Linked DNA regions of Alligator mississippiensis. The protein of the gene in region 3 purifies or fractionates together with the protein of the main gene of each other region. This does not show direct contact. Links are inferred from orthologs where the notes say so. Each region holds a gene or a part of one and is shown on either strand. Other genes may lie near its edges. The genes, in order: JARID2, PHF19, EZH1 and PHF1.

The links.
Region 1: the proteins of EZH1 (region 3) and JARID2 purify together in Homo sapiens (affinity purification with mass spectrometry; 4 studies listed by BioGRID and IntAct, with this or other methods). This does not show direct contact. The link is inferred for Alligator mississippiensis from reciprocal best matches to the Homo sapiens genes EZH1 and JARID2.
Region 2: the proteins of EZH1 (region 3) and PHF19 purify together in Homo sapiens (affinity purification with mass spectrometry; 4 studies listed by BioGRID and IntAct, counting the BioPlex papers as one, with this or other methods). This does not show direct contact. The link is inferred for Alligator mississippiensis from reciprocal best matches to the Homo sapiens genes EZH1 and PHF19.
Region 4: the proteins of EZH1 (region 3) and PHF1 purify together in Homo sapiens (affinity purification with mass spectrometry; 5 studies listed by BioGRID and IntAct, with this or other methods). This does not show direct contact. The link is inferred for Alligator mississippiensis from reciprocal best matches to the Homo sapiens genes EZH1 and PHF1.

Annotation. Positions count from the first base shown.
Region 1 is NC_081826.1:128,795,323-128,802,908, reverse strand, and holds the start of JARID2 (protein Jumonji), read right to left. Parts: upstream 3,011-7,586; 5' UTR 2,228-3,010; coding exon 2,183-2,227; intron 1-2,182.
Region 2 is NC_081835.1:64,140,171-64,147,362, reverse strand, and holds the start of PHF19 (PHD finger protein 19), read left to right. Parts: upstream 1-4,182; 5' UTR 4,183-4,949; coding exon 4,950-5,201; intron 5,202-6,842; coding exon 6,843-6,924; intron 6,925-7,192.
Region 3 is NC_081827.1:152,151,338-152,158,979, reverse strand, and holds the start of EZH1 (histone-lysine N-methyltransferase EZH1), read left to right. Parts: upstream 1-4,640; 5' UTR 4,641-4,704; coding exon 4,705-4,715; intron 4,716-6,220; coding exon 6,221-6,341; intron 6,342-7,305; coding exon 7,306-7,434; intron 7,435-7,642.
Region 4 is NC_081834.1:64,870,894-64,878,350, forward strand, and holds the start of PHF1 (PHD finger protein 1), read left to right. Parts: upstream 1-4,448; 5' UTR 4,449-4,931; intron 4,932-4,938; exon of another isoform or gene 4,939-5,524; intron 5,525-5,725; exon of another isoform or gene 5,726-5,728; 5' UTR 5,729-5,743; coding exon 5,744-5,938; intron 5,939-6,013; coding exon 6,014-6,095; intron 6,096-6,256; coding exon 6,257-6,352; intron 6,353-6,428; coding exon 6,429-6,538; intron 6,539-6,622; coding exon 6,623-6,771; intron 6,772-7,361; coding exon 7,362-7,457. Other genes in the region: kinesin-like protein KIFC1, read right to left, coding at 1-54, 419-586, 672-845, 925-1,041, 1,444-1,572, 1,647-1,793, 2,415-2,613, 2,699-2,891 and 3 more. UniProt on the Homo sapiens protein: Polycomb group (PcG) that specifically binds histone H3 trimethylated at 'Lys-36' (H3K36me3) and recruits the PRC2 complex. Involved in DNA damage response and is recruited at double-strand breaks (DSBs).

The DNA.
Region 1 (7,586 bases), on a different chromosome or scaffold from region 3:
CCGCCCCCGCTCCCCGGCACACGCGGCCCGCCTCACGTTTGACGTCACGCGGGGGGGGTGTGGAACTAGAACCTTGAGACGACGAAGATTCCACAGAGCCCAGGCCCTTCCCTTTGTGACGTCACAAGCACAACAAGCCCCTGGCCCCGGCTGGGCTGAATGGCCGGGAACCCAGGGGCTCGCGCTGACACGCCGCTTAACCTGTTGCTGCAGAGGACGCCGGGGAAGCGCGCCGGGCCGGCCCACGCCGCTGCCTGCACCAGCACCAGCCGCCACCGCCGCCGCAGCAGCCATGGTTGCGTCGATTCATGCTACTCGCTGCATCAGTGCACCAACCCCCCCTCCCCTCCCCTCCGAGAAACCTGGCAGGAGCCTCCCCCCCTCCCCAACACAGAGCCCTTCCCCTCCAGCCACTCCACGAAGTTCAACTCGGGAACACAAGGAGACATTGTCTCCCCACTCCTGCTTGCAGGGGCATCTCGTACCTGCGGAGCTGACAGTAGTTTTACTAAATCTCTAAGGGGCAGCGGCCAGACTGAGGCTGCATTGTTCACCAGCCCGGAGCTGGGGGGGCTTTTAAATAATAATAATAATAATAATAATAATAATAATGATGATAATAAAAAATCCTAGGGGAGGGGGGTATGTTCATTTGTCATGACCAGCGCCGATCGTACCCCCCCCTCCCGCACCCCCTTCTGCTTTGTCTCCCAGAAACGTGCCCGTCTGGTGGGGGAAAGTCTTAAGGCAACACGCGCCGTTCCCGTCTGGATTGCAAGACTTTAAACTAGTCGGCTTCAGCCTCCCAATTCCTCTGCAATGCGGATGTATTTTAATTCAGAAATTCGGGGGGAAAAGCAGCTTGGAGGGGGGAAGGGGGGGGCTGTCCATTTCACCTCGCTCTCCTCTGCCTTCAGCTTTGCAAGAGTCAACCCCCGAGAGAAGCAGGCGGCGGAAGCCAGCGGCAGGTTTTAGGAAATCTATTTCTAGAAGGGAGAGAAAGTGTCCCGAAGGTCACCCCCCCTCCTTTTAGAAACATCCCCCGGGGGGCGAAGTCACCACCAACCAAAATATCTTTATTAAAAAAAAAAAGTTGTAGTTTAAAGTGTTATATTCACTATACCCCAAAGCAAGTCTCCCCCCTCCCCCAAACAAAATGAAACCTTTCATTTTAAACATACAGCTGGAAAAAAAAAAAAAGAGAGAAATCATTCTGCGATCGCCTGCCTATTTGGATACCCCCCCCCCCTCAGTTTTCTCCCCAAAACTCCCCCATGCCAATCAAAACGGAGCTGGAGCACGCACAAAAAATCCAACTACCTCTGCACATTTATACGTTTAAAGGATTAGACAATTACAAGGGATTGGTTAAGCGGTTGAATTAAAAACAAAAAGAAGCAGGAAGAGAGACACACACAATGCTGTGCAGCCTGGACTGGACCGTATTCTTCTAAAATTTCAAGGCATCGCCATCATTTTTCTTTTTTAAAGCTATTTCCCCATTATTCAAGTCAATCCCAACGCACGCATTCCCTGTAACACGATCCCCGGCCGGCTCGGGTTCTGCTGCCGGCCGGAGGAGCGAGGGATCACATCCGTGAGATGTGATGTGGTCGTGCAAGAAACGAGCTCGCCATAACCAGACACTGGATCCTAACTTAAAGGGCTTCCCACAACCCCGGCAGGAATAGCCCCTTACTCCTCCATGCAAAAGGCTTTTTTTTTTTCTCTCTCTCTCTCTTTTTTGCCTGCAAAGTGCAATCTGCAGAAAGCTGCTGGAAAACGCAGTTTGTAGTTACACGACGGCAGCAGCATCCCCCCCCCACCCCCCTCTCCCTCCCTCCCTCCCTCCCCCCCCCCCTCCCTGCCTTTCACCTAAAACTAGATTATGATTGTGTCATTTGAGGTCAATACATTTATTCACTCGAGATATCGCTCTACCCATCTGCACCGGGCAGGACAAGGCTTTGCAATTAAAAATAAAGAGAGGCCCTGAAACTGCCCAGCACCTTGGGGGATAAATAAATATATTAAATACATACACAAACAAATAAATCAATCCATCAGCATTAGCAGACATCTGTTTCAAAGCCTGGTGGCTGCAAGGATGAGCCCGAAACTTGACATTCACTGCCATTTCCGAAACCTGGGACTCAAACGAGAGATTGTTACGGCCACTTACGTATTTCTTTTGAATGATATTCCTCTTGGGTCTTTCTTTGCTCATTCTGGTATCCAAATGCTGATGGCAAAAGGGGACGATTGCTTCATGAATTAAAGCCGCGACAAGGTGTTAAAAATAAAAAATAATAATAATAATATAATAACAATAATAATTAAAAAAAAACCACCGACAAAAAAAAATCCTGGGTGGGTGCTGTTGGCTGGTAGTGGTCTCTTGTAATCCGACTTTCTTCGCCTCACAATGCGATTCTCCTAGCAATAAATCCGAGAGGTGGCGGTGGGGAAAGGAAGGGGGAAAATAATAATAATAATAATTATAATAATAATAATAATAATAATAATAAAAGAGAGAGGCGAATGCAAAGCAAAGCACCCCCAAAATAATCACTTGAGTGAAACATTCATCATGGAGAGAGGCTCCCCCTGAAGAGACGCGCGGGGGGAGGGAGAAAAGAGCACCCCGACGCCCTTGAGATCCCCCTTTTGGGGAAGGGGGTTTCCTCTCTCTCCTCTGCCAAAGCCGCCTCGGCAGCGATCTGCGGGTCCGTAGTGTCTGAGCTGTAGTTACATCTTGGGCCAGGGAAGGGACGGCCGGGAGGAAATAAATAAAGGAGGCTGGAAGTCAACACTCGCGCTGCTGCTGCGGCTGCAGCAGGGGAAGAAGCAGCGCAGACAACTCCGGCGGCGGCGGCTGCTGCTGCACGCACCGATTGTGTGTGTGTGTTGTGTGTGCGTCCGTGCCCGCCCGTGTGCGTGTGTGTGTGTGTGCGCGCGCCCGCCGCTCCCCCCGCGCCAATGCGAACCGAGCCGCCCTCCAGCAGCAACTTTAAATGGACCTGATCTTTTTTTACAAGCCCCCTTTAGGGCTCACCGCGCAACTCCTGCCCTCCCCGCCAGCCGCAAAGGCTAGCGACGCCGCTCCCCCACTCCCTTCTCAGCGGGGGAATTTAGCCACGGTGCCTAAGCGCGCCGCACGCTCGTCCACCCCCCGTCGCCCCCTTCACCGCAGCTCCTCTGCTAGAGCCCTTTAGGCCCAACCCCTCCCCCCCGCTCCGCGCCACACAAGCCCCGCGGCGCCTGGCCTGGCTTGGCAGGCCGGAGAATTGCCCTCGGCCTGTGGGGAAACTTGTAGTTTCCCCCTCGCCACAAAATGGCTACAGCAGAGGGGGGAACTACAACTCCCATCATGCCCCCCGCTCGGCCTTCCTCTCGCCTTCCCCCTCCCCTCCGCTTCTCACCGAACGCTAGGGCGCTGTCCCGCCCCCTCCGGGCGCCACGCGGCTCTCGGATTGGCTGCCGCTGGGGGTTGTCCGCGTGGGATCTCCCCTGCTTCCCCCCTCGCTCCCGCCCTCGGTCCCAGGGCTTGTTGGTGTGGGGGGGAGCTGTGGGACGCTGGACGGGGGGCTCGCGCGGGGGAGGGGCACGCAGTGCATCGGGGGTTTTATGGGGGGTACCACTGCCCTGGGGGAGGTATGCATCGCATCGGGGGTTGTATGGGGGTACCAGTGCGCTGGGGGGGAGGTATGGAATGCATTGGGGGTTGTATAGGAGCACCAGTGCACTGCGGGGAGGCAAGCAGCGCATTGGGGGTTGTATAGTGCACTGGGGGAGGTATGCAGTGTATTGGAGGTATGCAGTGTATGGGGGGCACCAGTGCACTGGGGGGAGGTATGCAGTGAATCAGGGGGTTGTATGGAGAGGAGGCATCTGTACTGTGGGGGGCACACAGTGCATAGGTGCTGTATGGGGGGGGGCACCAGTGTATAGCAGGGGGTAGGCAGTGCAGTTTCTGGGTTAGTAGTGGAGCTAGGGCAGTAGTCTGCCAGGAGGGCAGTTGCCAGAGGTGCTTGTTATGCCTGCTTGTTAGCTGCCCGGAGCAGCTTTTGGTGGGAGGATGTTGATGCAAGGCATTTGGAGGGGAGGCTGGTAGGAGGTGCAGAGGCGGGCACCACCCACACCCTCCACTGCCAGGGGAGGCATGTGCTCCTGGGAGAGGGGGTGGAGGTAAAAATAGGACTTTATTGGGAAGCTACAAAAAGCAAGGGTGGGGGGAGTGGTAAGCAAGAAGGTGCAGAGGGAGACGCAGGATGAATGTGTCTGGCTTAAGTTAGGCAGTTGCAGTCCCGAATTTCATTTATCTAAATTATACTGTGGGCTAAAGGGCCCTCTTGCTTTGGACTAACTAGTTGTTAGGAGCCTGTTCCTTTGCTTCGCTGTCAGTGTCACCTCAGGACAGTGTGCCTGGTTTATATAAAACTTGCTCAATGCGTCTCAAAGGTATTCTAAGGTCACTCCCCTCCCCCGCCCCCCTGTAATGCCTCAAAAGCCCTGCTGCTGCACTGGATTACTCTGAAGAGCTAAAGCTTGCAGACAGCAACAGCGGGACTGGTGGGCTAACGTATCATAATCAACTCTATATATAGCTAGGGAGATTTAAAAAAAAAAAAAAAAGCCCTGCTTTTTTGCTGATGCTAAGGCATGCTGCAAAAGGGAGGATTTGCTCACCATTAGAATCTGAAATGTTTGATTGAGGTAAAATAGTTCCCAGGATTGAAGTAAACACACTCTTTAGTAAATACAGAACATTTACTGTAGCTTATTGGATGGATGTTTTAATCTTTTGAGAGAGAGGTCATTGGCCGTGTTAGTCTGCAGTTTGGCAGAAAGCAGGGTAGAATTGCATCTTAATGCCTAACTAAATAATAATGCAGTACATCTATGATTCAGTGGTTTTCAACCTTTTTTTTCATTTGCAGACCCCTAAAAAATTTCAAATGGAGGTGTGGGCGCCTTTGGAAATTTTGAATGGAGGTGCAGACCGTTTTGTATTGTAAGTGTGGGTATTCACATACTTTTGATTGATTGTAGTCATCTTTTGCAGACCCCTCAGACAGTCTGCAGACCCCCCCAGGGGTCCGTGGACCACAGGTTGAAAACCACTGAGTTAGGTTATAGGGTGCAAATCTATTTTGCTAGAATGTTTTCTATTTTCTATTTTACTAGAATGTTTTCTGTCTTTGTTTATATAAAACAGCTGATTCACAATAACAGCAAGAGTGGGCCCTGATGTCTAAAACCTAAGACACCAAATTTTTAAAGTGAATGTTAGGGAATTCTGAGTCCTTGGAGGGCCCTGGGCAGCTTTTCTAGTTTTGTACTTAAACCACTAGACAGTTTTACCTCTCTGTACAATTGTATAAAAGGATCTAACTAAATAATATCGTTGTAATAGCATGTGCATTTATAACATCTTTGATGCTCTCACCACACTGCCCAAATATTAATTTAGTGTCATATTATTGCTCTGAGGTAATATTATCCCTAACTCAGCAATTTCAGTACAAAGAGGTGATGGGTGACTTTGAGCAAAGTCGTGCAGCAAGGCTGTGGGAGATCCAGGAATAGAACCTCAATCTCCTGACTCCTAGTCTTATGCCTGAACCACAAGACCATCCTTCCTCCCCTAAAGAGATAGAGAACATGATGCTCACGTACTCTAGAAATAGGGCACACGCCACTTTTAAAATATTAAATGAAGGAAATCAAGTTACTTTTTAACATCCTAACTTCAATTTTTTTCAGATTAGCTACTACTTATACTAGAGTTTTCCAAATGTGTCTTTAAAGATTTCAAAACTTTTTAAATGAAGTTTCATTCTCAATTTTGTGCGGTATAAAGCTTGCTTACGTTTTGGAAAGTGACTACCGTTGTATTTCTTTCAGACAAGCTTAGTATAATCAGAATAATGTTTTGAAGTGTCATTTTAAACATCATATAGTATTGAAATACACCAAGGAGAGGGAGACCTGTATTTTCTCCTAACTTGGAAATCTAGGCAGTTACTGGCTGGTTGAATATAATTTATTTTTTTGTAAAAGGCAGAACCAGAACTTTGTTTGAATGTTTTTTCACAATAATTAAAGTAGATGCACAAGTTCTGATTTTTACCTTTTTAATAAAAGTGTGCATTCACAAATACAGGTGCTGCTGTCTCTTTCCTTGAAAAGCTCTGTTGATAACAGAGGAATTAGATCCTCACAGGTAATGAGCCAGTAGTAGCAACTCAACAGTTTGATTTTTCTGTCTTTTTAATGTTTGTTTAGCACAGATGCCTAGGAGATATTTGAGAGCAAATACCTTACTATTTTATATTTTTTCTTTCTGGAGAAAAAGGCTGGACATTCCTCTGCTTCAGAAAGTGAAGCCACTACCCTGCCATTCATTGACTATTGGGATTCTACAACTGGATTGTTGAGAGACAGCTAGGACCCACTGTAGAATATGCAAAACTTGGTGAGAGATTTGGTGGCTTGCCTCTTCAGTTAAGGGCTTTAAATCCATGTCTCTTCATCCTCTGAGGAGCACTCCAGGAAGACAAGGGAGTACAGCGGAAACTAGCATCCTGATACTTTCTTAAAAACTGTTGTGCTTACTTATTAAAATACTTACCTGGCTTCTTTGCAAAACAAGAGCATAGATCCACGCAGGCTCAGTATGTCATGACCTTCCAACAGCTGCTGTACATGAGTAAGAACCTACTACTGCTACTACCTCACAGAGATTCACTTCCAGCTCGGATGGCAGAGTTCTGTGCTACCACTCCTGAAGATCAATTCCTTTATCTCTGTTTATGACCTACTCTATATAAATTAACATTTCCCATTCTTGCCCTTACCCCATGTTTCAGCCCCTCAGTACTGGGCTGAATAAATACTTAAGGTAGATTGATTTGCAAAATGATTAATTAAAAACTGAAACTGTGATTATGTAGTCAATATTGTACAATTAATTGCTGCTGACATTACTGACTGGCACTGAATTTGATCTAGAGCTCCCAAAAATGCCTTAACTTGATGGTGAGCTTAGTCTTAGCTGATGTCAGATTATTTTGCATTGGAGATGTTTGAAAGTGATTAAAAGTAACAGTGGTGAGTTCCCTCATTTGTGTAAGTTTTGGATTATAACTGTTCAAAAAGATGATTATTTTCTATCTTCCAGTGAGGTAGATTTACAAAGGTACCTCTACATAGAATTGGATTTTTTTTTTAACAAGTTCTGCATATTCTACTGCAGGGGTAGGCAAAATACGGCCTGCGGGACCCTAAAAAATGTAGAAAATTAATATTTATCTGCCCTTGGTTAGACCAAGGGGCAGTAGGACACGGGAGGGAAGCCGGGCAGGCTCCCACAACAGCAGGGCCCGCCCGGCCCTGCCCCCCCAGCTGGAAGCCCCAACAGGGTCTTCTGGCCTGGGACCACATGGCTGCACCGCGTCGGAAACTCAGGTGAGGGGTTGGGGAAGGCAGGGGAGGACCTGAGCTGAGCACGGGGAGAAAGTGGCCCCTTGCCCACCACGTGGCCAGTGCCCTGCACTGCAGCTACTTGCAGCCTGCCTGTGGCT
Region 2 (7,192 bases), on a different chromosome or scaffold from region 3:
TTGGGGCAGTAAAGGGGCACTGAGCCAAGGTCTTACCCCTTCACAGGTGAGCAGGTGTTTAAACCAGTGCAAAGCACTAGCAGATCAGCGTTCTGCATGTGTGTGTGACAGGGCTTGGGGGAATCGGCTGTGACCAAGTCCAAGCAGCACACACCTTGGCACAGATAGCTATGGGTGGAAAATGGAAGTAGCAGGGGGCTAGCGTCATTCACGTGTAGCAGCCAAACTCCGAGTACCGGAGCCGAACCACTTAATAGCTAAACGTGGAAGCTGCACTCGTGTCAGAGAGACCCTCCCCGTCCCTAGGAAGACAAACTCCTGACCATGACATGGAAGCAAGTGCTCTTTGGGCAGCGACACTTACTTGAAGGATCTGGACAAGAGACTATTGCAGAATTGACATCTGTATTTTTTGAATGCATACATATTTTTACTCGGTTCTCGGGACATGGCGGTATTCAGTTTAGAGAATAACCTCTCATTGTTGTCTGCTGTTCAGGTTGGATGTTAGGAAAAGCTTTCTCACTAGGAGGGTGGTGAAGCACTGGGACGGGTTGCCTAGAGCGGTGGTGCAATCTCCATCCGTGGAGGTTTTAAGGCCCAGCTTGACAAAGCCTTGTCTGGGATGATGTAGCTGGGGCTGGTCCTGCTTGGAGCAGGGGGTTGCACTAGATGTGACCTCTGCGGTCCCTTCAACCCACATTTCCTATTTTATACTGATAATATTCCTTCTACTATAATGGTATTAATACTTGCCTATGCTATAGCAGGGAAATAATTTGAAAACAAGGAAGAAGAGTTTTTATTTTATATACTGATGCTGAGATCCATATTTTTTTCTCATCTTGCCAAGCCCGTTCAGGCCAGGAGAAGGGAATTAGTATTACATAGTGAAGTTTATTGCTTTAGGTTATTTTGTGTCCATTTTGTATCCTACAAAGCAACCCCTGTCTAAGGACAGAAATATTTATCCTTTGATTATGATGGTTGTAAGGAGTTTCTTGTCTCTCAAAAGAGCTACAAAGAGGCTATTTGTGAGGTCCTAAAAGTGTTTCTGAATTGCAAATTCTGTATTGCGGTGCTGAAGTTGTGAGTAACATGCTCCATCTTTTTGACCCCTTGTGCTGTTGAGTCTTACAAAGTTTTAAAAAGTGATTAATCGTTAAGAGCCTTGAACTCTATTTTCCCCTTTCTTTGATATTTTTCTTTGGCGAGGTGTTTAGTGGCCTGTAACATAGCTGGCAAGGTTTATAGTTGCGAGACAGCCTGGCTGTGACCTGTTATGTACTTTGAGAGAGTGAATTATCAGTACCTTTTTAACTTGGGTCTAAACAATTTTAATTATTATTTTTTAGTTGCTTATCTGTAAAAGGGTCATAACACACCAGACATGGTGGAGAAAAGGTTTGATGTTTTATAGCTCAGTCCTAAGAAATGGCAAAGAAGTGGCATTTTACCATCGCGCCATTTTAATGATTGCCTGGGGGAAATACTTATTGGAACTGCAGGCTTTTTTCGGCAATGCACTGAAGAATGCAATATATTGGAGAACAACTCATTAAGGTTTTCATCTGAAGTCAATAGTGTCACCTACTGATTTCAGTAGGCTTTGGAACAGGCCCTAAATGAGGAATCGGCTTTCTGTTCTCTGACCAGGTGTGAAAATATTTGTCTTTTGACAGCAGTTCCTAATAAATCTCAGCTATTTTGTCCCAGCTGTCAGAGCAGCAGGACAGTGGAACCGCCTGCTTAGGGAAGGTGTGGACTAGGTGGTCTTTGGGGGCTGGACTGGACGATCCTTGGGGTCTCGTCCAACCCTCAGACGCTGTGACTCTTCTTGGTATTGACCACAATGAGTCTATAAGACCCCCCGGGTTTGTGGACTGATATTAGGATGGAGGTTATACCCATTCCAGATCCGGGGGCTCGGGGCTGCGCACACAAGGGACCGACGAGGCGAGTGTCAGCGTCGCCTCCAGAACGGCCCGGCAAGGGGCAGCTGCGGAGGAGCGTATGTGCGGAGCTGGGCTCGAGAGGCATTTTCAGTGTTCGGTGACGTGCCCCGAAGTGTCCCTGCAATGCGTGCTAAGGATGGGCACGCTCGGGTCCAGAGAGCAAGGGCATCGCATGCCAGACGCTTGGGAGGGGGGCTTCACTAACGCTGGCCCCCGGTCGCCTTGCTGAGCAGTGCCTGTGGGACGAACTTCAGTCGGACTCTTCTCCAACGGGGGGATCCTTTTTGGACCCCCCACCCGAGCCCCGTCCCCATACAGGTTTGTGTCACCGACGTCAATGCTCCCCTGCCCTTGCTTTAGGGCGGGGAAACCTGTGTGCACCCTTCTGTCTTTTAGTAAGTACAGTGTGTGCACGTGCATGCGTGTGCGCACAGCGTGTATGTCTCCATATGCTTGCACGTGTGTGTGTGCATATGTCTGCATGTGTGCATGTCTGTACAGCTGCATGTGTCTACACATGTATGTATGGCTGCCCGTGACCACGTGTGTGTGCATGTCTGCACAGCTGCATGCGTGCATGTCTGCGCGTGTGTGCATGCTTGTGTGCACATCTGCATGTCTACACGTGTGTATGGCTGCCCGTGAGCACGTGTGCATGTCTGCACAGCTGCATGCGTGCACACGTCTACACAAGTGTGCGCATGTCTGTACATGTGCGTGCATCTGCAGGAGTGTGTGCACACGTCTGCACATGGCTGCGTGTGCACAGCTGCGTGTGCCTCCACGTGTGTGTATGGCTGCCTGCCTGCACGTGTCTACACAAGTGTGCACAGCCGCCTGTGCGTGCACACCTGCACCCCCCCGCACCCGCGCGGTGTGGGTGTGGGTGTGGGTGTGGGTGCGGGGGGCGGGCGCGGGCTGGGGCGCGGGGCGGGCCGGGCCGGGCCGAGGGGCGGGGGAGGCGGCGGCCCGGGCTAATTGCATAAGCGAAACGTAAATAATTCGCGGGAAAAGAAAAGAGGGCAGAAGATGGCGCCCCGCACCCTCCGCCCGCCGCGGGGCTGAGCCCGCCCGGCCCCGCCAGCGCCGGTAAGAGCCCCGCACACTCGCCCCGCGGGGCAGCGCGTGCACACTTGCCCCGGGGTTGCGGGGTCCCGCCCTGCCCGTCCCGTCCCGGGCCGTCCCGGCGGGGCGCGGGACGCGGGCGGGCTGGGCGCGGGCGGGGCGCGGGCGAACGTGTGTCGGCGCGGCGCGGCGGGGCGCGCGGGGCTGGAGCGCGCCGCACCCCGCTTCCCCCCTCCCCCCAAAAATGGATCCTATTTTGAATGCATTTGAATCAGCCAATCAGAGCCCCGGGAGCAGGAGGAGGGGGGCGGCTGGTGCTGGCAGGCTGGAGGGGCACCCCTGGCAGGAGATGCTCCCTGCCCTGCCCCGCGCGGGATGGGCCAGGGCAGCCGGCCGCTCCCCAGCCCCGGAGGCGGCTGATCGGGGGCCGCGGGGAGCGTGGCACTAGCGCGCTCGGCTTCAGGAGACTCGCCTGCGACCGCCCCGGTAACCGCAGCCCGAGGCCGGATGCTGCGAGTCCTCGGTGCTGCGGAGCGGGGTGCCCGCCAGTGGCCCAGGGCGGGAGCAGGAAGCAGAGCAGCAGCCCGGGCAAGGGACGGGCATCCCTCGCCGGGCTCCGTTGGTGGCACGCCTGCCCAAAAGCTTGGCCCCGGGTGTTGCACGGAGCCGTGCTTGGCTTAACGGTGCGGCGAGGAGCAGGATGAGTCGAGCGGGGCGGGGGGAGGACCGGCGCAGTCCTGTGACTCGAGCCTTTTCCTAGGAACTGGCTGGCTCTGAGTCAGGGCAGAGCAGATTTTTCCATGGAGGCCTCGCTTTTTTCTTTCTTTCATTTTTTTGCCTGCGCTCCGCACTTTCTGCTCGGGTCCGGGAGCAGCGATGCCACGAGCAGGAAGAGGGGAAACTGCTCTCGAGGAATTTCCAGCTTGGTTTTGCAAAGTCGAGAGGCTCAGAGAGTCGGGAAGAAGTTTGGAGAAAGCTTCCAAGCGAAGACGGCTTTTCCCGCCCCTGCTGCCGCAGCGTTTCTCGCCCCACTAGTGACCTTCTCATCGTGTTTCCTTCTCCTCGTTTCCCCCAACTGGTGGGAGCAGTAGTCACGGGGTGGCTGTCCCGCTGATTTCCTCGGCACGATTTGGTTAATACGGAAATAAATTGGAAGGTGGCTTGCATTTTTCAGTGGCATGTAGCTGCTTGCTGATACCGTTCCCCAGAACGAATGCCCTTTGGGAGGCGTGCCGAGCTGGGCTACATGGGGCCTGACTTGCCCTTAGCTTGAGTTGAGAAAGTCTCTAGCCCTTAATGTTAGTCTGCGGAAAGCTTAGTAATAACCTGTAGGGTATTTATGCAGCCTGTTTCTTTCCTTGCGTGGAAAGACGCAGGGATAAAACGGGCTGAGTTTATAGTCTGCACCGTTTCTGGGCATGGAATGAGCAAGGTGTGCGTGTCACAATTAATGGGATAGCATCCGAATAAAGGTACCCGGGTCCCTTTCCGCGAAGCTGTCTTGCACCTGCGTGTTGTTAATCGCACCTTTCCATCAAGAAACACGAAGGTGTTGTAAAAACCCAATTGATTCAGCGCTGTTCGTTTGCTTTTGGTCCTTCGCGCCTCTGGAGGACTGGAGCTAGGCTCGTTGTCTCCGATTGCCATTGAGAGTCTGGTGGGTGTGCGTGCTCCTACGCTATCCTCTTGGGCTTGGGGGTTTGTGCAGCGGCAGAGGAACGTGGGAGTTCAGATGGATGGGAATAAAGAGCTACTTCCATAATCCTCTAATGTGTTTTTGATGGAGCCTCCCGTCATGCGTGCGATGCCCCGGAGCTGTTTGCTCTTTCCGTCCCTATGCTGACTGTCTGAATGCACGAGGCGGTGTAGCACAGCGGCACTTGGAAGTTTTAAGGGACGGGATTTTGCCAAACTGAGAACATCCTTACCATGGGTTGTGATCACAGACTAAACCCCGTTTTGTTTTCTCGGCAGCATCTGCCAAGGCTCATGGAGAACGGCACACTGAACCCAATCATCCGAGATGTCTACGCGGCGGCCAGCCACCTGCAGCAAGCGTCGGTCGACGCGTCCGTGAAGAATGGGAACGGCTGCAGAGATCTGATGGTCAAACTGACGGAGGGGCAGTATGTGCTGTGCCGCTGGACCGATGGGCTCTATTACCTGGGCAAGATCAAGAGGGTAAAGTAGTAGGCATTCGCAGCTTTGCTAGAACGACCTCAGTTCTTTAATGCTGGTGCCTAAACCAGAGAGGTGCGTGAGCTGGCGCTCTCACAATGTCACCGGGGCTGGACTCTGCCCCGGATGCCTAGCTCCGTAATGGGCTGAGCGCACATCCAGGCTTCAGATACCCCCATACCACAGGGCTCTTCTTATACCTGGGCTCAGGACCAGGTTTGGAAAGTTGGGCCCTTCTCTGCTGTCCCTCAAAGAGAAGGCGTCTCACAAGCATTTCTTTCAGAAAGGACCTTTCACACACACTTAGCTCTGAGCAAGCTTCAACTTCAGTGTCCTTGATTGGAGGGTGGGCCAGGGTGTAAAGATCATGATTTGGGTTGTTCCTGTCTGCTCTTTTGTTAGTCCTTGTATAAACAGCTTGAGCAGGAGAGAGGGCATTAGAGAACGTGGTTTCTATCCTGCATGTGCAAATCGGGTGCAACAAGAAGCAAATAACTCAGCTCAAAAATGGGCCCGTTTTGCTGGGAAAGGATCGGATATCTCTTTTGAATGAAAACATAGTCCACTGCAGTTGAAAGGTGGGGTCAGGGCCTGAGGTTTTGGGGTTCATTGTCCGGCAGGAAAGTTGCCATTTATTTTTTCATCAAGTCTTGGGAAGGAAATGGCAAAACGGCCGAAAGAGCGCAAACCAATACGAGAAACTTGTTCCATCCAAAACATTAAGGAAATGGTTTCTCTTGTCTCCAGCACGTTTGATTCTTTCTGTAGAGCATCGGGCAAGACCCGGCCTCTCTCCTTGCCCCCGGTTTGCTCATCTGCTTAGCAATGGTGTGCAAATGCAGGGGACCAGCCTCAGTGGCTCTGCGTTCCTATAGCAGGGGAAGGGCTCCCACTCGCGCACCCCTGGGCCTGAGAGCGCCTTCCAGGGCAGGTGTTATGTATGCTAAGTGTCATTGCTGTTAAGCAAGGACCTGTGAGGAGGGGCCAGGATCGCTGGGGCAAACCCGGTGTCTGTGCTACACCTGCAGTCAGTGCTGACCCCACGAGAGGCAGTTCCTGGCAGCCCAGGTAGCTGTCAGTTGGGAGAAGTGACCTCGGGCTCAGTGAAACTCCCGATTCTCTTCCTGTCACGCTGGTTGTATAGGAGTGTGAGTCTGCTGCGGTTTGTGCCTTTGCTCCTGCCTCCCCCTGGGGTTAGGGAAAACGCTAAGGCACGTCAAATAGTGAATGCCCTTTATTAGCCAGCACCAGCCGCCATTCTCTGGAGGGCTAAAGACAAAGCCTGTAGGCGGGTGGCTTGGACTATTTGGGACCCCAGCCCCCTGGGTTGCTGGCTCATCTCCAGCCCAGTTCAGAGGCAGCCAGGACTGACTCTCATTCTTTGGTGGTTTGGTGAAATGAACTCCCGGGCATGGATGCTGGACATAAAAATGCCCTCTCCTTCCTAGGTGAGCCTCTGCTGCCGCTGTTGCGGAGCCTGGGCTGGGTGTATGCAGGCAGCATTTGCTTGCAGGGCCGTCCGTGCAGCCTCTTTGGCCGGAGCAGAGCACCCGCGTGTGTCTCTGAAGTCCAGCCAGCCACTGAAGCGGTGCTCAAAAGGGAGTGGGATAAACTGGCATCTGATCTCCCTCCTTGTCTGTGCAGGTGAGCGGCTCCAAACAGAGCTGCCTGGTGACCTTTGAAGATAATTCCAAGTACTGGGTCCTCTGGAAGGACATTCAGCATGGTGAGTGAAGCCTCGATCTCTTATTCTGCCCTGGCGGCTGTTTCTAACCCCAGCACCTGCTCCCAGAGACAGATCCGAAGCCCCTTCTCAGCCCCCCCAGGACCTTCGCTGTTCTCTCGTCTCGCAGCCTGAGGTCTGGCTGCCGTACTGAGACGTGCGCTTCCATTGCCCCAGCTGACGCCTTCGCCTTGCTGCTGGGTGGGCTTGTCTTCAGCTTGTCCCAAAGCTTGGAAACCAAGTGAGGTGACAGTCCTTGGTCCTTCCTACG
Region 3 (7,642 bases):
TTGCCAGGAAAGAGAATGTGGAAATGCCTGGAGGCTGAAGGCACTGACAGAAGTGACACTTTGTCATGCGCTCTGCCATTGAAAGTGCCCTACAGCCATCCACTCAACTCCAGGGCAGGCTGGGCAAACCCCAGAATGGACCTCCCTCCCATCCTGAGATGGGCCCCAGAGCTGGGGGCGGGCAGGAGGGGAGGGGAGGCAGGGCTAGGGGAAGAGGCGGCAGAGGCCTCTTTTGCTGGATGGGCTTTGAAGTGGAGCTCAATCCCCCACCCTCCCAGCCCAACAGTGAACACCTGTTGGGTCAGGAAGGTCAGTCTAACTCATGGTACTTTCTGTAAAGTGCCATGAGTTAGACTGGGGAGCTGCACATCTGTCAGTGCCCAGAAAGTGCTGTTGAGCAACACCGCAGCAGTTCTGAAGTCAGCTGATGTTCACATCAGTCTGTCAGAGGGATGATAAATTACTGTACAGTTCTGGCCGAACAATCGTAAAACTGGAACAAAACTTGGACCAAGCTAAGATTCTACAAGCCTTGTGGAGACACCAGGATGTGGTGACAGAGAGGCTTTCAAGGCATGCGATGGATGGCATGGTAATTGCGGTATCTCCGAGTTACCAGTTTTTACAAGAGACAATGTGGTTGTCTGCTGTCCCAGGGGGACACAAGCAGAGGCCCCGGGGCACCCTCCCATGGTGGGACCTGAGGCAGGGCTGACTCGCTCAAAGAAGAAAGAGAAAAGTCCTGAAAGCAGGGCATGCTTACTGTTTTTAGGAAAAGCAGAGCCAGCCAAGCCACACCGAGACGAACTGCCTGTGCAGTTCGTCAGCTGCTTTTATTGCTGGCTGGGAGCAGCGATGGCAGATGACATTATCAGAAATCACCGCCCGGCTGATTTAAAAGCCAGGAGGCAAGGAAATGGAGGGGAGATCAGCAATACCATAGCCAGAAGGCAAGGCTGCTCCCCAGGCTGCACACAGGCTGTGTTGGCAGCTCGGCGGAGATCCGGACGGAGACCCGATGGAAGTGTCCAGGATCCATTAAAAGAAGCATCATGCCAGCTCAGCAGGACAGCCGGGCCAAGGAGGATGGTGTTGAGGGACCCTGGAGCCGCAGATGCTGGATCTATGAGTGGGGCAGGCTGAGGCCCCATGCCCTATTTTTTTCTTTCTTAATTTATTTTGAGTTTCACAGAGCCCCAAACCAGTGAGAGGGGCCACGAGTGGCCTTTTGGGTCAAGGGGAGCCAAGTCAGTGCAGCAGACTGCTACGCTTTGAAGGAAGACCCGACACATTGACAAGGGTGGTCTTACGTCCCGTGGTCTTCCTGTGTGGAGGGACGCTGGAGACAGGCAGGGAGAAGAGAGGGTAGGTGATGACATCAGAAGACAGGCCGGCGCATCGCTGGGGTGTAGGGGAGGTAGAGCCCCAAAAATGCCCACTATGGACAGTGCCCGGTCTGCGAGGAGCTGCGAGGAGCCCCACCATTAAAGAGGAAGATCAAGTTGTGGCAGGCGAGTATCAGGGCCTTCTTTGGGGTGAACACAACCCAATGCCTAAGCCTCAAGAACAAACCCTGCGGCTGGCACCGGGTGCGTGCTCCAAGGCAAATAGAGAACGCCTACATGAGGCCAGGTGGGTGCATCTGCAACAGCAGAATACTGGACTCTGTGGCCCAAGAGGCCCTCTGCAGTCCATTGTGCTTCATGTCTGGGTAGGACTTAGCCTGGGGCTGGCCCTCGTTGCTTTTTTTTTTTTAATTATTATTATTTTGTGTCTCAGGCCAAATTAATCAAATCATTTCCAAATTCTAATCAACTGAGCTGAGCTTAATCATTGAAATCTGTGTGGCACTACTGCCAGCAAGTATCCTACCTCCCAGACGCTGCACCCTGGGGCTTCAGTTACTCCCAAATCCATGGCAAGCATCCTATGTACAAGAGCCCAAGCCCAGAGGTCTTGGAGTTCAGATGCTCCCTAGTCTTGCTTGTCTCTAGCCAAAGGCCATAGGAGCAAGTTAGAGAGAGAGCCCAAGCACAGCCAAACACAGACCTCAGGGCACTGGAAATACAAACAGGACAAAGATCAGATAGGCCTTTGTCTTCCTTCCCCTGCGTGCTTTTGCTGTAAGTGAAAGGGTGAGGCTGTGGCAGGAGGATATGATGTGCAATTCCTTTGTCTACCATAGTTATTTGTTTATTGTTCATGCAGGAGATGCACCTGATAGCTCATTTCCAGGTGGGTGAGCAACATACAGTATACTGTGGAAATTTAGAAACAAAGCTACTCTGGAAAAAATCCCTGACACAGCAGCTCAGCCAAGTTTTCTGCCCCTCCCAACAGAGCCAAAGGAAACAGATGGCCCTTTGACCATGCCCCAAAGATCAACAAACTTGAGCTCTATCAGACCCAAGGGGAAGTGCTCTCTGGAGCCAAACTCTGCTACCACAAAGTATATTCTGCAGCCAGTCCCCAAGTGTGTGATTCTAGGGATAGTTAGCTAGATACTAGCTAATCTAGGTCCTGGTGAGAGGAATCTCTCAGGTAGCTAGAATGCAAGGAAGCATCCAGGATTGTACCCAGATGGCAGCAGGAAGCTAGGGAGGAGTTGGTGTAATGTACCCTCCGGGTTATGACAGCTAAATGGGAGAATAGTACAAGTTATATATATGAGCCCTGTGTCCTTGAATATACAGCCTGAGAGCACAGGACAGCATAAATTATGTTGTTACTGAAGGAAATCCAGGTGTTCAGTATTACCATGACACTCTGAGGCCAAGTGTCTCCAACAGAACAGGCAACCTGGAAAAGCTTCAGTTCTCCATTATCTCGGCAGGAACCCGCTCTACAGGAATTAAAAACAAGGGAAATCACCCTGTCATTCTTTTACCACTGAATCCTCCAAAAAGCTATTTCATAGCTCCTTGGAAACTGCTCTTCGGATTGCTAAAAAAACAAAAATCCCCCATACCAGAGCTTCTCAAATCTAAAATGTATGCTATCACCCTGTAAAATCTGTCCTCTGGACACTGTCACACCCTGTGATGTCTCCCCTTGTTCTCCCCTAAAAAGGCTACCTATAAAAGCATATTAAAGCCCCGAGTTCTGGTACTTCTGTATGTCCTTGTAGCCAGGGGGGGAATTCTGGAGCCAGCTTCAAGAGCACCCTTTGGGCAGACTCTGACTGGCTGCATTTTTGAGACTGTAAAAGCAAATGATGCCAGACCACTGCTGAGCATGTGCAAGAGACCACCATTAGAAGCTTTTACGTGCCCAGTCTGAGTGCATTTTCCCATGCAGCAAGAGGCACCGCCCTGATCCCAGCATATTCTCCCTGCCAGATATCAAGCCACTGCAGCTTTCAACAAAAAAGATTTAAGTACAGGTTTCTCTCGCTTTATATTGTACAGTACATGCGTTCCTGGAAAAGCACGCATAACTCCAATTCGCATAAAACGAACCCACTTTACAATGTAACAAATGGGGATATGTTCCAAGACCGTACTGACCCCCAGACCCATTTCGACCACTTTTACAAGACAGTTTTGGTACTCACCAAAAGCAGCAGTGCACACAAGCACAGGGCAGTGGTGAATGATACCATAATGGGGACGGCAACTACAGAAACAAGTGTCGCAGACAATGAGCGAGGACCCCGGATCCACACAGGAGACTATATTTTGGTGCGTGTCACTCCCGCAACGCACTGCAAAAAAGCAGCTGACAGCAGGCTTTCACCACACCGATTGCATGAGTGAATTTACCTCGCATATAATGAATTTTTGGTATTAAAAAGGTCATTGCATAGGAGTGGATTTGCACGTGCAGAAACCACATAAGGAAAGGGAAACCTGTATTTTTTTTAACACAGACAACATAAGATCTCTCCTCCTTATCTCATCCTCTCCACCATTTTCTGCTGAAATTTTCTGAAGAAACCGCCTGAGACAAACACCGGGCATGGGAAAATTAGCTGCAATTAAAATTTGGCGTGGGCAGAAGCAACCCACCCCCGAGCCGCCTGACGGGAAGCACTAGGCGATCTGGGCATTCCCACAAATCTGGGCGTAGAGCAGGGCTGCCGGCCACCCAGCGACGAGCCAAGATCTCCTGGGCTGACACAAGAGGAGGCAGCCGCGGGCACGGACCCGGCTCCAAACGTCTCACCTCGTCACGAGGGGCAGATCTATAACACGCCGGATTTCTGTGCCGGAGAAAGGCGCACCAAGTGCTCAAACAAGGCTCCCTGCACCCCCCGGGGGATAGGGGAGGGGTGGGGCGGGGCGGAGCGGGGTCGGGCCGGGACTCCCCAGGGCTCTTCCTGCAGACCACGTATTTGCCTCGCCCGGCTCTTATTTGCCTCACACGTCCGCGCTCGCGAGCGTCGGGCACACGTGACCCTTCCCCCCTTGACGCTCCGCGGCTCCCTCCTCCTGCAGTGGTACAGTCCCGCCTCCCTCAGAGTGGCGCAACCTATCCTGCCGCCGCCTGTCCTGGCCGCGTGCCTCCCACAATGACACAGTCCTAGCTCAGCGTTCTGCCCCTGCCCCGCGAATGCGTAGCGGGGTGGGCGGGGCTTCATGAGTGGATGCGGCGCTTGGGGGGCGGGGCCTCGCTGGAGGGGGCGGGGCCGCGCGGGGGAGGCGAGCTAGCTGGTTGGCGCAGGCGCGTAGGTGGCGTCGGTGTCTGCGGCCTCTCCGGAGCGTGATGGCTGAGGAGTGAGTGTCGGGCCGGGGCGGGGCGGGGCGGGGCGGGGGTCTCTAGCGGCGGGCTGCTGCGGGGGGGGGGAGGGATGAGGGGCGAGGGCTGGGCTGGGCCGGGCCGGGCCGGGCCGGCCAGGCCAGCCCAGGCCAGGGGTCGCGGGGCGGGGTCCATGGGCTGCCCGCGTGCCCGCAGCAAGCAGGCCACGTGGGCCGGGCGGGCGGGCTGCTGGTTTCGCCCCCACGACGGCCCGCGCGGGAGCGGGAGTGGGGCTGCAGCAATGATAGGTCCCCTCAGCACTGCACAGGGCTGCCTGGGGCGCTCCACGGGTCGCCATGGGCCTGGCGCAGGCGCAGCAGGCTTACCTGGGGCTCCCACCTCAGGAGAGCTGCGACGGAGCCATCCTTGTCGTCTTTTCACGGGCTCTGCCTGTAGTAGGTGAAGTTCAGAGGCTGGGGAAATCAGCCTTTGAAACTGTGCCCTAAGGGCAGTGGGTGAGGCACACCCCAGACATGGGAGCATAGGTCTGAAACCTTGCATGGTACAGAGGGGCGCAGGTCGGAGCTGTCCATCTTGTCGCTGTTGCATCGGGTCTGCCTGGCCGGCCTGGAACGTCTGCCAGGGAGAGATGCAGGGATCTGGATGAATGGGCAGTAATGCGTGCAGAAGAGCTAAGCAGTGGCATGAACGGAGTATAATACGTTTGAAAGGGTAATAGGACTCCTAGGGAAAACCAGGTTTCCCTGGACAGTGTTGCTGACATCAGGCCCCTGCTTGCTGATGCTGTATCTGTGGCAGGGGGGAGTCGCGTTTCTGCTTCCGTAGGGGTAGGGCAACAATTTGTTCACGGTAGTAGGCAGCTGTAGCAGCTGGGTGTGTTACGGGTTGTATGTTGTCTTGGGGAGGATATGACATCACTTTATTCAGAGGAAATGTGCAGAGCTGGCACTAGGCATGAAGAGGACATGGGCTAGTGTTTTGCTTTTTACTACCTCAGAGAGTGTTTGACATCTTGAGTAAATAACCGGGGAAGGATTAAAACAGAAGCTTCTCGACTGCCCAGCACCACAAGGGTAAAACGTTGGGGTAAGATCCTAGTTAGTGGAGGGGAGAGCAGCTTATCCTTTCCGCCCTTACAAGTCTGCATGTAATGAGGCCAGGTGCTGTGGGTAAAACAAACAGAGCTGCTCAGGATAGTTGGTCAAAAAGGAGTTCACCCCAGTTCTCACTGGACAGTCGAGGAGCACAATCTGTGGAGTCCTTGCATAGTATGCTTGGCCCTGAGCAATTAGTTGTCTCAGTTCTAAGGGCTCTTAGATCAGCCCTTCTGGGTCCCTTTTAAATACACTTTGCACTGTAATTATTTCTTAAATAAGTAGTACCAATATAGCCTACTTGAGGAATTACTCTTTTCCTGAGTAAGGTCAACAATACATTTAAAATCCCAACATACAATATTTTTTAATGACTACTGCTCACATCATGATATCCAAGTATTAATCTTTCCTTGTTTGTTTTACAGGAAAATGGATATTGCAGCTCCTCCAACCTCAAAGTGTATTATATATTGGAAAAGGAAAGTCAAATCTGAATATATGCGTCTTCGGCAGCTCAAGAGGTTTCAAGCAAACATGGGAGCCAAGGTAAACATATTACAGTAGCAGTAGGTCTTTTCTGTTTAAACTACAGCCTTGATCCCAGGTACTACTAGTCAGTACGGTTGCAGTCACGTGTCTTTCTCCCATGTTACTACCTGCTATGTAAAATCTTAGCTGTTACTTTGCAGAGATGTGTGTTTTCATCATTGGTTATGTCATTTGACCAGAAAATTGTTTTTTGTATCTGATGTCTTGGGTGAGCATTAGGTGCTTCAGATTCCTTGAACTCAGAGCATGCCTCATATGCACGAAGCAACTCTGCTATCTCCTGAGTTTTGACTCCATGTCTTAAAGACTGGCTGTCTTCAGCTGCCTTTTACTCAGTCTTCTCTAATTCACTGCTAGGAGTCTGGTAAAGTCAACAGTGACTGGAAGGTATCACCAGCTATTGGTTGTTCAGTTGATTGAGTTGAAGAACAGCATTATGCACATGCATCCAGTGAATTCAATTAGAAATATTTTTAAAGGAGATCTATCAACTTGAAATGTTAGTAACTGTTTAATTAAGGAGGTAAGTACTTTCAGGCCTTTTACCTGCTAAGTTTTGTGGTCCTGTGGCAGATTTTAACTGTCTATTTTTATTTTGTTTATTGTGGCAGGCTCACACAAACAATGGAAACAGTGAAATCAAGTTACCCAAATGCCAAATATAGGCTACTTGTTTTTAGTTGTTTAGTGACAATAGCCAGGTCAGTAACAAGAGCACTGGCCTAAGGGTTGCTGCAGATTCAATTCCCTCCTCTGCCCTAGACTTCATGTGTGACTTGAGCAAGTCACTCTATCTCTGAGCTTCCATTTACCATTTGTCAAATGGAATTACAGTCCTTTGGAAATGACACCTGCACTGAGTCTACAGCCTGATGTGCAGAACACATTCCAGTGGGCATTTCATTACTCTGAATCTTCACTTGCCTTTTGATTTCAAGGGCTTGTCTCTTTCTTGTTTCAGGCTCTGTTTGTGACCAATTTTGCAAAGGTTCAAGAAAAAACACAACTTCTGAATGAAGAATGGAAGAGGCTTCGAGTGCAGCCAGTGCAGTTAATGAAGCCAGTCAGTGGGCACCCTTTCCTGAAACAGGTACAATGGCTGCTCTGCTGTTTCTGCCTCCTTCCAAAAACACTGATGACAGCCTAGGTTTTGCTGGGAACTCTGAAGGCAGCTGCAGCTTTCTTTGTGCTTTTATGTTTCAATATGTTACTGTGCCAAATATTCCCCCCATGCTGCAGAACTAGGGGGAAAAAGAAAATGTACTTAAGCTAATGTTTAAGGAGGAAATGAAGTGTGT
Region 4 (7,457 bases), on a different chromosome or scaffold from region 3:
AATAGTCTTTGCCACAGAGCGGTTGGCTTTGGCTGTGTGCAGGAGCTTCAGCACCTGGAGTTTGTTCCAGGAAGAAGTGAGGCCCAGAGAGACGCAGGCCATCACGCCTGACCTTCTGCCCAGCCCAGCAGCAGGTTCCCCTCCCACCCTCTTAACAATGCTTTTTCCACCCTATAAAGCGCCACAGGTGAAGAGCAGGCCTGATGAGGGCACGCTGAGACTTGCAGCCATTTTGTGGCCAGGTGCAGGCTGTGGTATTGCAACAGGCACTTTGATGCAGGGGAATGAAGTAACTTCTCCACCTCCAGCTTCTACCAGTCTCACTCAGAGGATGATTCTTCTGCCCCAGACTAGGCTGCAGGCACAGCCCCAAGCCAAGACAGGCACACCATAGTCTGCAGCCCCCCCAGGCACTTACCTCCTCCTCAGAAGCCACAGGCACGCAGCGCAGGTTGGGAACGTGGAGATCCTCACTGGCCTGACTGACGCGCCGGATCTCCAGATCAGGGGCCTGGTCTGAGCGCCCCACCAATAGGTCACGCAGGCCTTCATTGTAGATCTCGAGGAAGCTTGCTGAGAAGCTATACTGCAGGGGGGCACGGACATACACAATCAGCCAGTGCTGGGGCTGTGGGGGCAGCAGGCTGGGAGACATGGGCACGGAAACTCACCTCCCAGCCTTTGGGCTCCAGCTCCCGTGCGCCCTGGAAGACCTGGCGCACGGCTCGGGGAATCATGCCCAGGGTCTCCTGGTCCAGGTTGTCCGGTCCCTCCATGGTGTAGGTCTTCCCACTGCCCGTCTGTCCGTAGGCAAAGATGCAAACGTGATAACCATCCAGTGCTGACTGCAGAGGGGAGCAGGGGAGAGGGGTTATGAAGAGAACAGCCCCCTCCTCCCACAGCCTGGCCCAGCCCAACTCATACCTGCACTAGCTGTGCAATTTCCTCAAACACATCCGCCTGGGAGCAGGCTGGGGGGAACACGCGGTCGAAGCTGAAGTCGTACCTCGTGTTGCCTTTACAGCTGCGCCCGGTGTGGGACTGAAGATTGCAGGTAGCAGGGGAGAGCAAGAGGGATCAGCCAGGGGGCCTCATTCTTTGACCCCCCACTCCGTAGCCCAGAGAGTACCCATGGGGCAGGAAGCCTGCGCTGCTGCACCTGGGCATGACACTCTCCCCACCTCAGCCTTTGCTATCACTCTGCAGCTTGTGGCTATCCTCACCTGTTGCAGACAAGCTATTTCTGAGCATGGGCAGCAACCCACAGGGGTCCCCCAGGGAACAGGTCAGCTTTGTAGGGAATGGATTATACCTTTGCCAGCACCCCTGGGGGCTTCAACACTGCATGGAGCAGGGGCATCTCCAAACTGAGGCCAGACAGCCTGTGGCTGGTGCCCAGTGACCTAGGCCCATTGCTGTCCCCCACCCCCCTGCCTGGCTCACCTCCTCCGGCCGGGAGAGTACAAGTGCTCCGTTGTCCTGTGGGGGGAAATGCAAGTGCTCCAGCCCCTTCCCCGCCTCCTGTTCAGAGGGCAGCAGGGGCCGCACACGGCAGAACACACGGATGTTGCCCTGTGGAAGAGATGCATCAGTCTAGCCCAGGATCCCAGTGCCCTCCCACCCATCTGCCCTGGGCCCAGCCCCACCTTGAGCTCCAGCACCAGGTTGTGCAGCCGCCGCCGGTCCATCTCCAGCTGGTGCAACTGGTCTTCTCTCTGCGTTGCAGCCTGCAGCAGGGTTGTCACCTGGGCTTTCAGCTCCCTGTTCTCCTGTGTGCTCTGAGCCAGGTCCCCCTAGCAGAGAGCCCGAGTGTCACTTAACCCTGGCTCAGAACTGTCTGAAATGATGGGCATGGGAGGCCATAGCTTGAGGCATCACCATGACCTGCTGACAGGTGCTAACACATGGGCTCACTGGATACGAGTGGCCATCAGCATGGCCAAAGTGGGCTACTGGGGACAGGTGGGGGCAACCTGGGGCAGTGCTGCCTATGACAGCAGGGCACTTGTGGCTCTGGCAGAGGTGCCATGGTTGCAATAAGGGAAGCCAGGGAAGGCAGCACCATACAGAGTCACTGGCCTGGCCTGGACCAGGGGACTGTGACAAATGCCACGTTGGGAATGTGATGCTGGAGCAGAACCTGGTGCCATTACAGCCGGTGCCCACAGCCTCAGAGATGTTGCCATAGGAAACTGTGCTTGCGTGTCAAGCTGCAGATTGTACTCATCTGTCAGAGCTGCAGCACCGTCTGTCTCCACACACACAGCATGGAATAGCGTGCCAATGGAGACGGGCCGATGAGCACAACTGCCTGCCCCAGGGCAGGCCGCAGGACAGCAGAGCTCCTCATCAGAGGCTCTGGGGCCGGAAGGAGAGCCAAGCTGCTCTATGGACCCCTCAACTTCCAGACCCACCTCTCTGGCTTCCAGCAGGGCTGACAGGTCCCGCTTAGCCATCTCCAGGTCCTTGTTGGTCCCCTCGAGCTCCTTGTTGGTCCTAGTGGTGTCAGTGAGCTGCTGCTCCAGTTGGTGCTTCAGATCCGACAGTTCCTTCACTTCCTCGAGGCGCTGCTGGGCCTGCTCCTGGGACACGTGCAGCTCGGACTTCACAGCCCTAGAAGTGCAAGGGGCCAGGGTCACTCCCCGTCCGCATCAGGCTGCTCCTGCCCCCACCCCACCCCACCCCACCCTCCTCTTACTGGAGCTGGCGGTCCAGGTCCCCGTTACGGGCCAGCAGCTCCTGCCTCTGCTCCTCCAGCTCCTGGCCCCCCTTGCGCAGCTGCTGCACCTCTTCTTTGTAGATTTTGAGCTCTGCCTGCAAGTCGCTCACTTGGCCCTTCAGGTCCCAGGGTGCCCGCTTCTTCTTGCCACCCCCCAGCTCCAAGGCACGGCCTGAGGCAGAGAGAGAGATTGGGGGGGAGGGGCGCAGACTGTGGTGGGGAAGCCCAACCGGCCAGGCCAGCACAGGGGGAACTTGGTGGCACCTTATAAGTACATTGGGGCTTGGAGGAACATCTATTCACCAAGCCCTGCAGGGGAGGACAAATAATGGGCACAAACTGATCAAAGATCGTTTCAAATTAGACATAAGAAAAAGCTTCTTTACAAGCCAAGCGCCGAGGGGCTGGAACAGGCTCCCCCAGGGTGGTCTAGGCACCCGCAACGGCCATCTTCATAAAGTGCCTCGACACCCAGCTCGCCGGGGCCTCCTGCCCACGTCCGAGCTCCCTAAGCCCCCCGCCCCGCCCCGCCCCGCCCGCCGGGAAGCTGCGGGAGACGGGTTACCTGTCTTGGGAGCGGCTGTGGCTGCGGCCACGGCTAGCCTGGAGGCGGCCCCTGGGGAAGGAAAGCAAGGCAGGCTGGAGGCCCGGAGCGGGAAAGGCCCGAGCCGGGTGCTGAGGGAAGGGCTCTGCCCCCAGCCCCTCCCCCGCCCGTACCTGGGGCAGACGCGGCGTGTGCGGCGGGGCCCGGCGGCGGGGCGAGCGGGCGGCCGGCGAGGCCGGGCGGGGCCGCCGATCCGGGGCGCTGCGGGCGGGCGCTGGCGAGGCGGCGGGGCGGGCGGGCGCGGGCGGGGGGCTGCAGGCGGGCGCGTTTCTGCGGAGAGATGGAGACGTGAGCGGGGCGGCGGCCGCGGGGCCCGGGCGCCCCGGTTCCCGTTCCCGTCCCTACCTGCTCGGGGCCGGGCGCGGCCTCGGCGGCGGGCGCGCGCTTGGGCACGGGCAGGCGGGAGGCGGGCGGCGGGTCCATGGCGCTGGCGCAGGCGATGGCGGAGCCGGAGTCTGGGCGCGCGCGCCTTCCGCATTTGAAATAGGCCCCGCCTCCGCCACCGCGCGCAGCCAATCCCGCGCGCTCGCCCGCCCCGCCCCCTCCGCCGCGCCGCGGCCAATCGCAGCCCGCGGCCAATCCGCTCCCACCGCGCCCCGCCCCCCAGCCCCGCCCGGCCTGTGGCGGCCTGCGCGCTGGAGGAGGGGAGGGGGGTACGTGCCCTGCGCGCGCCCAGCGCCGCTCGCAGTTGCGCAGGGCGGGAGGGGGTGGAGCCGGGAAAGAGGAGAGGGAGGGGCGGGGCAGGTGCAGGAAGCGGGGGGCGGTGGGGGGGGGGCTGAGTGGGAGCAGTTATGGGGTGGGGGCGGGGCAGGTGGGCGGAAGTGGGAGGGGCTGGGGCAGTTCGGGGGGGGGGATCGAGGGCGAGAGACGGGATGGAGCGTTTAGGGTGGGAGGAGGCGGGGCAGTTTGCGGGGCTGGTGGGAGGGGTTGGGGCAGTTTGGGGGGTAGATGGGGAGATGGGGCAGTTTGGGGGGAAGTGGGCGGGGACGGGGTAGGTGGGAGGGGATGGGGGGGGCCTGGCAGGAGAAGTGGGTGGTGCACCAGGGGCACTGGGTGAAGGAGGGGTGACCGGGGCGGCCGGGGATGCTGCTGGGGTAGGGGCTGTGAGCAGGGGGGAGCTGGGGTGGGCGCGTGGGGCAGGGGCCTGGGGTGGGAGGAGACTGCTTGGCTCCTGCACTGGCTCCCCTGTCGGAGCATGGGGCTGCAGCCCCGGACCCGGTCCCATCCCCTTCCCCATCCCCAGGCAGTAGGAGTGGGGAAGGGGCTGCCCCCAGTGCCAGGAGGGGGCACTTGCAGACGATGCCTGGCCTGGCCTGGGGAGGGGTCCAGGGTGCCAAGGGCCTGGTCCCAGGCAGTGCCAGGAGGGGGGCGTTAGGGGGGGTCCCCTCCCCGGGCGTCTCTCCGCATCCCCCCTTGTTCCTCCCTGCTCCGGCGGCTGCGGCGGCTGCTGCTGCTGCGTCACTGGGCTCAGGCTGCTGCGATGGAGCCTCAGCGGGTCCTGCTCTTTAGCCCCTGAGGGCCCCGCGGCCTCTTGGCCCGCAGATACCCCTCCCCGGCCGGGGACTGGGGAGTGCCAGCCCCCACCCCTGCAGGAGACACCAAGACCTGGTAAGGGCGGGAGCGGCCAGGGGCAGGAAGCTCCCCTCCCCCATCCTGGAAGGAGAGGCAAGGGGCTCCCCTGCGACACCGTGCCCCCCTTCTCCGGTTGTGACCCACCCCCAGTCAGTCAGAGACCTCAGGGAGTTCCTGCACCTGAGATGCTCTCAGCCCAGACCCCTGCCTCCCAACCCTGATGGGGGTCCCTGGTCTGAAACACTCTCCCACCTCCCATGCAGGGCACCCCACGGACCCCACCTTGGAGGCCCCACCTCCAAATTTCCAACCCTGCCCCAGAGACCACCCCATGTCCCAGGGTCCTGCCCCCACAGATCCCCAGAGAGGGGCTCACATAAGGAAGACCTTCCCCCAAATAGCAGATCCAGCCTCCTAGATGTGAGACTCCCTAAACCCCACACCTGCCAGAGGGGACCTGAGCTTAAGACCCTCTCCCTCTCCCAAACCCCACGCTTGCCAGAGAGGGCATAGGCTGAGACCTCCCCGAAACCCCACACCTGCCAGAGGCCCCAGGCTGACACCTCTTGGGAGCCCCACAAATCCTCCAGGTTCTGCGAAGCTCCTGCACTTGAGAGACGTGTCCCACAGTAAGAGCTCTCCAGCACCAGGCCTGGAGGCTCAGACCTCTTGCTGCACTCCTGGCCTGTCCTCCCTCACCTAGCTGGCGGCCTTTGAGTGGGGTGGAGTGAACCACACCATGGGAAGGAGAGAGGGAGGCAACTGGATTTGGGGGAGGGGGACTCAGACTCCTAGGTTCGGCAGCTGGGACTGACCCTCGCTGCATGCAGCAGGTTGGTCACAATGTGATGGCGAGCGAGCTGCCCACCCAGTCTTCCCGGGTGACGCGCACGACCTCACGCCTGGCCTCCGGCCCCTGGAAGCGCCCAGCAGGTGCCCCGACAGCCCCGGTCCCCGCTCCCAGCCGGCCCCGCTTCTGGGAGGGGCAGGATGTGCTGGCTCGCTGGACCGATGGCTTGCTCTACCTGGGCACCATCAAGAAGGTGAGTGCAGGGCCTGGGCCCCCACCTCCGCCAGACCCCACAGCCACCCCCCCTCACACCGCTCTCCCTATACAGGTGGACAGCTCGCGGCAGGTTTGTCTGGTGCAGTTTGAGGACAACTCCCAGTTTCTTGTTCTCTGGAAGGACATCAACCCGGGTAAGCAGCTGGCTCCCAAGACCCCAGCCGGGGGCCTGGCTTAGCAGCATCCCATGTGGTGCCTGGGCTTCATCACAGGTTTCTACTCCCTCCCCCCACCCCAACCCTTGCCCACTGGGTCCCCCAGGCAGTCATGGGGCTGGTTCTGTCATCTCTTGCAGCGGCAGTGCCTGGTGAGGAGCAGACCTGCTGTGTGTGCTACACGGAGGCTGTGAGCGCAGAGAACCAGCTGGTGCGGTGTGAGAAATGTGGGCATGGTAAGTGTGGCTCCTGGCCCCTGCCCCATGGCTCCCTTACCCTGCCACCCATCTCATCTATGCTTTGCCCCCACAGCTTACCACCAGGAGTGCCACCTGCCCACAGTGCTGGAGGTTGGTGGCAATGGGGCAGGAGTGCCTGGCACCTGGACGTGCAGGCAGTGCGTCTTCGCTGTGGCCACCAAGGTGAGCTGGACCCCCACCCCTTTCCTGACCCCTGTGCCCCTTGCACCCACTCCTGGCCTGATACTCTCCCTCTCTCCTGAGCAGAGGGGCGGTGCCCTCAAGAAAGGCCCCTATGCCAAGGCCATGCTGAGCATGAAGATGGTGCTGCCATATGAGCTGAAGGCTCTGGAGTGGGACCCAGTGCATCTGACTAATCGGCAGCAGTGCTACTGTTACTGCGGTGGACCGGGAGAGTGCGTGTCCTTCCCCTTCCTCCCTGGGGTCTCCCAGATCTAGAAGGGCCTGGAGCTGGCTCTGGGGTGGTGGGGGGTTTCCCAGAGGCTTTAGGTCAGGGTCCATCCTGGTGTAGGCACCAGTCTAGACTAGCTCAGTTGGAGTCCAGGGCAGGGCTCAAAACTCTGGAGCAGGCATTAGAGCGGGGAGTTCTTACCTTGAGTGGCAGCCTGGGTGCAGGCCCCTCAAGGGGCACCCCTGGAGCTGGAGCCAACACGTTCTGGACGGGGGACACTAGGTGTTGGGGCTGAAGATTTTAGGCTGGGACCATCCCAGGGGATGAGCTGGGGAGGTTCCAGATTGGGCTCAGCCTGTGGCATGGGGCTCAGAAGCAGGCAATGAAGCTGGAGAATTTGGAATCAAGGCTACTTTGGGGTTGGAGCAGGATTCGCATTGTGGGGAGCCCTGGGGCCTTCCCTTGCATGGGTGCTGGGGACTAGCGAGGTGGGGGGGGAAAGCTAGTGGTCCTGGCAGCAATTGTGCACACCTGTCAGATGAGGCAGGGCTGGGCTGTGCACTCAGCCTGCTGCCCTCCTGCTTCCTCCCACAGGTGGAACCTGAAGATGCTGCAGTGCTGCCGCTGCGCCCAGTGGTTCCATGAGGCCTGCACCCAGTGCCTGAGCAAGCCGCTGCTCTATGGTGACAG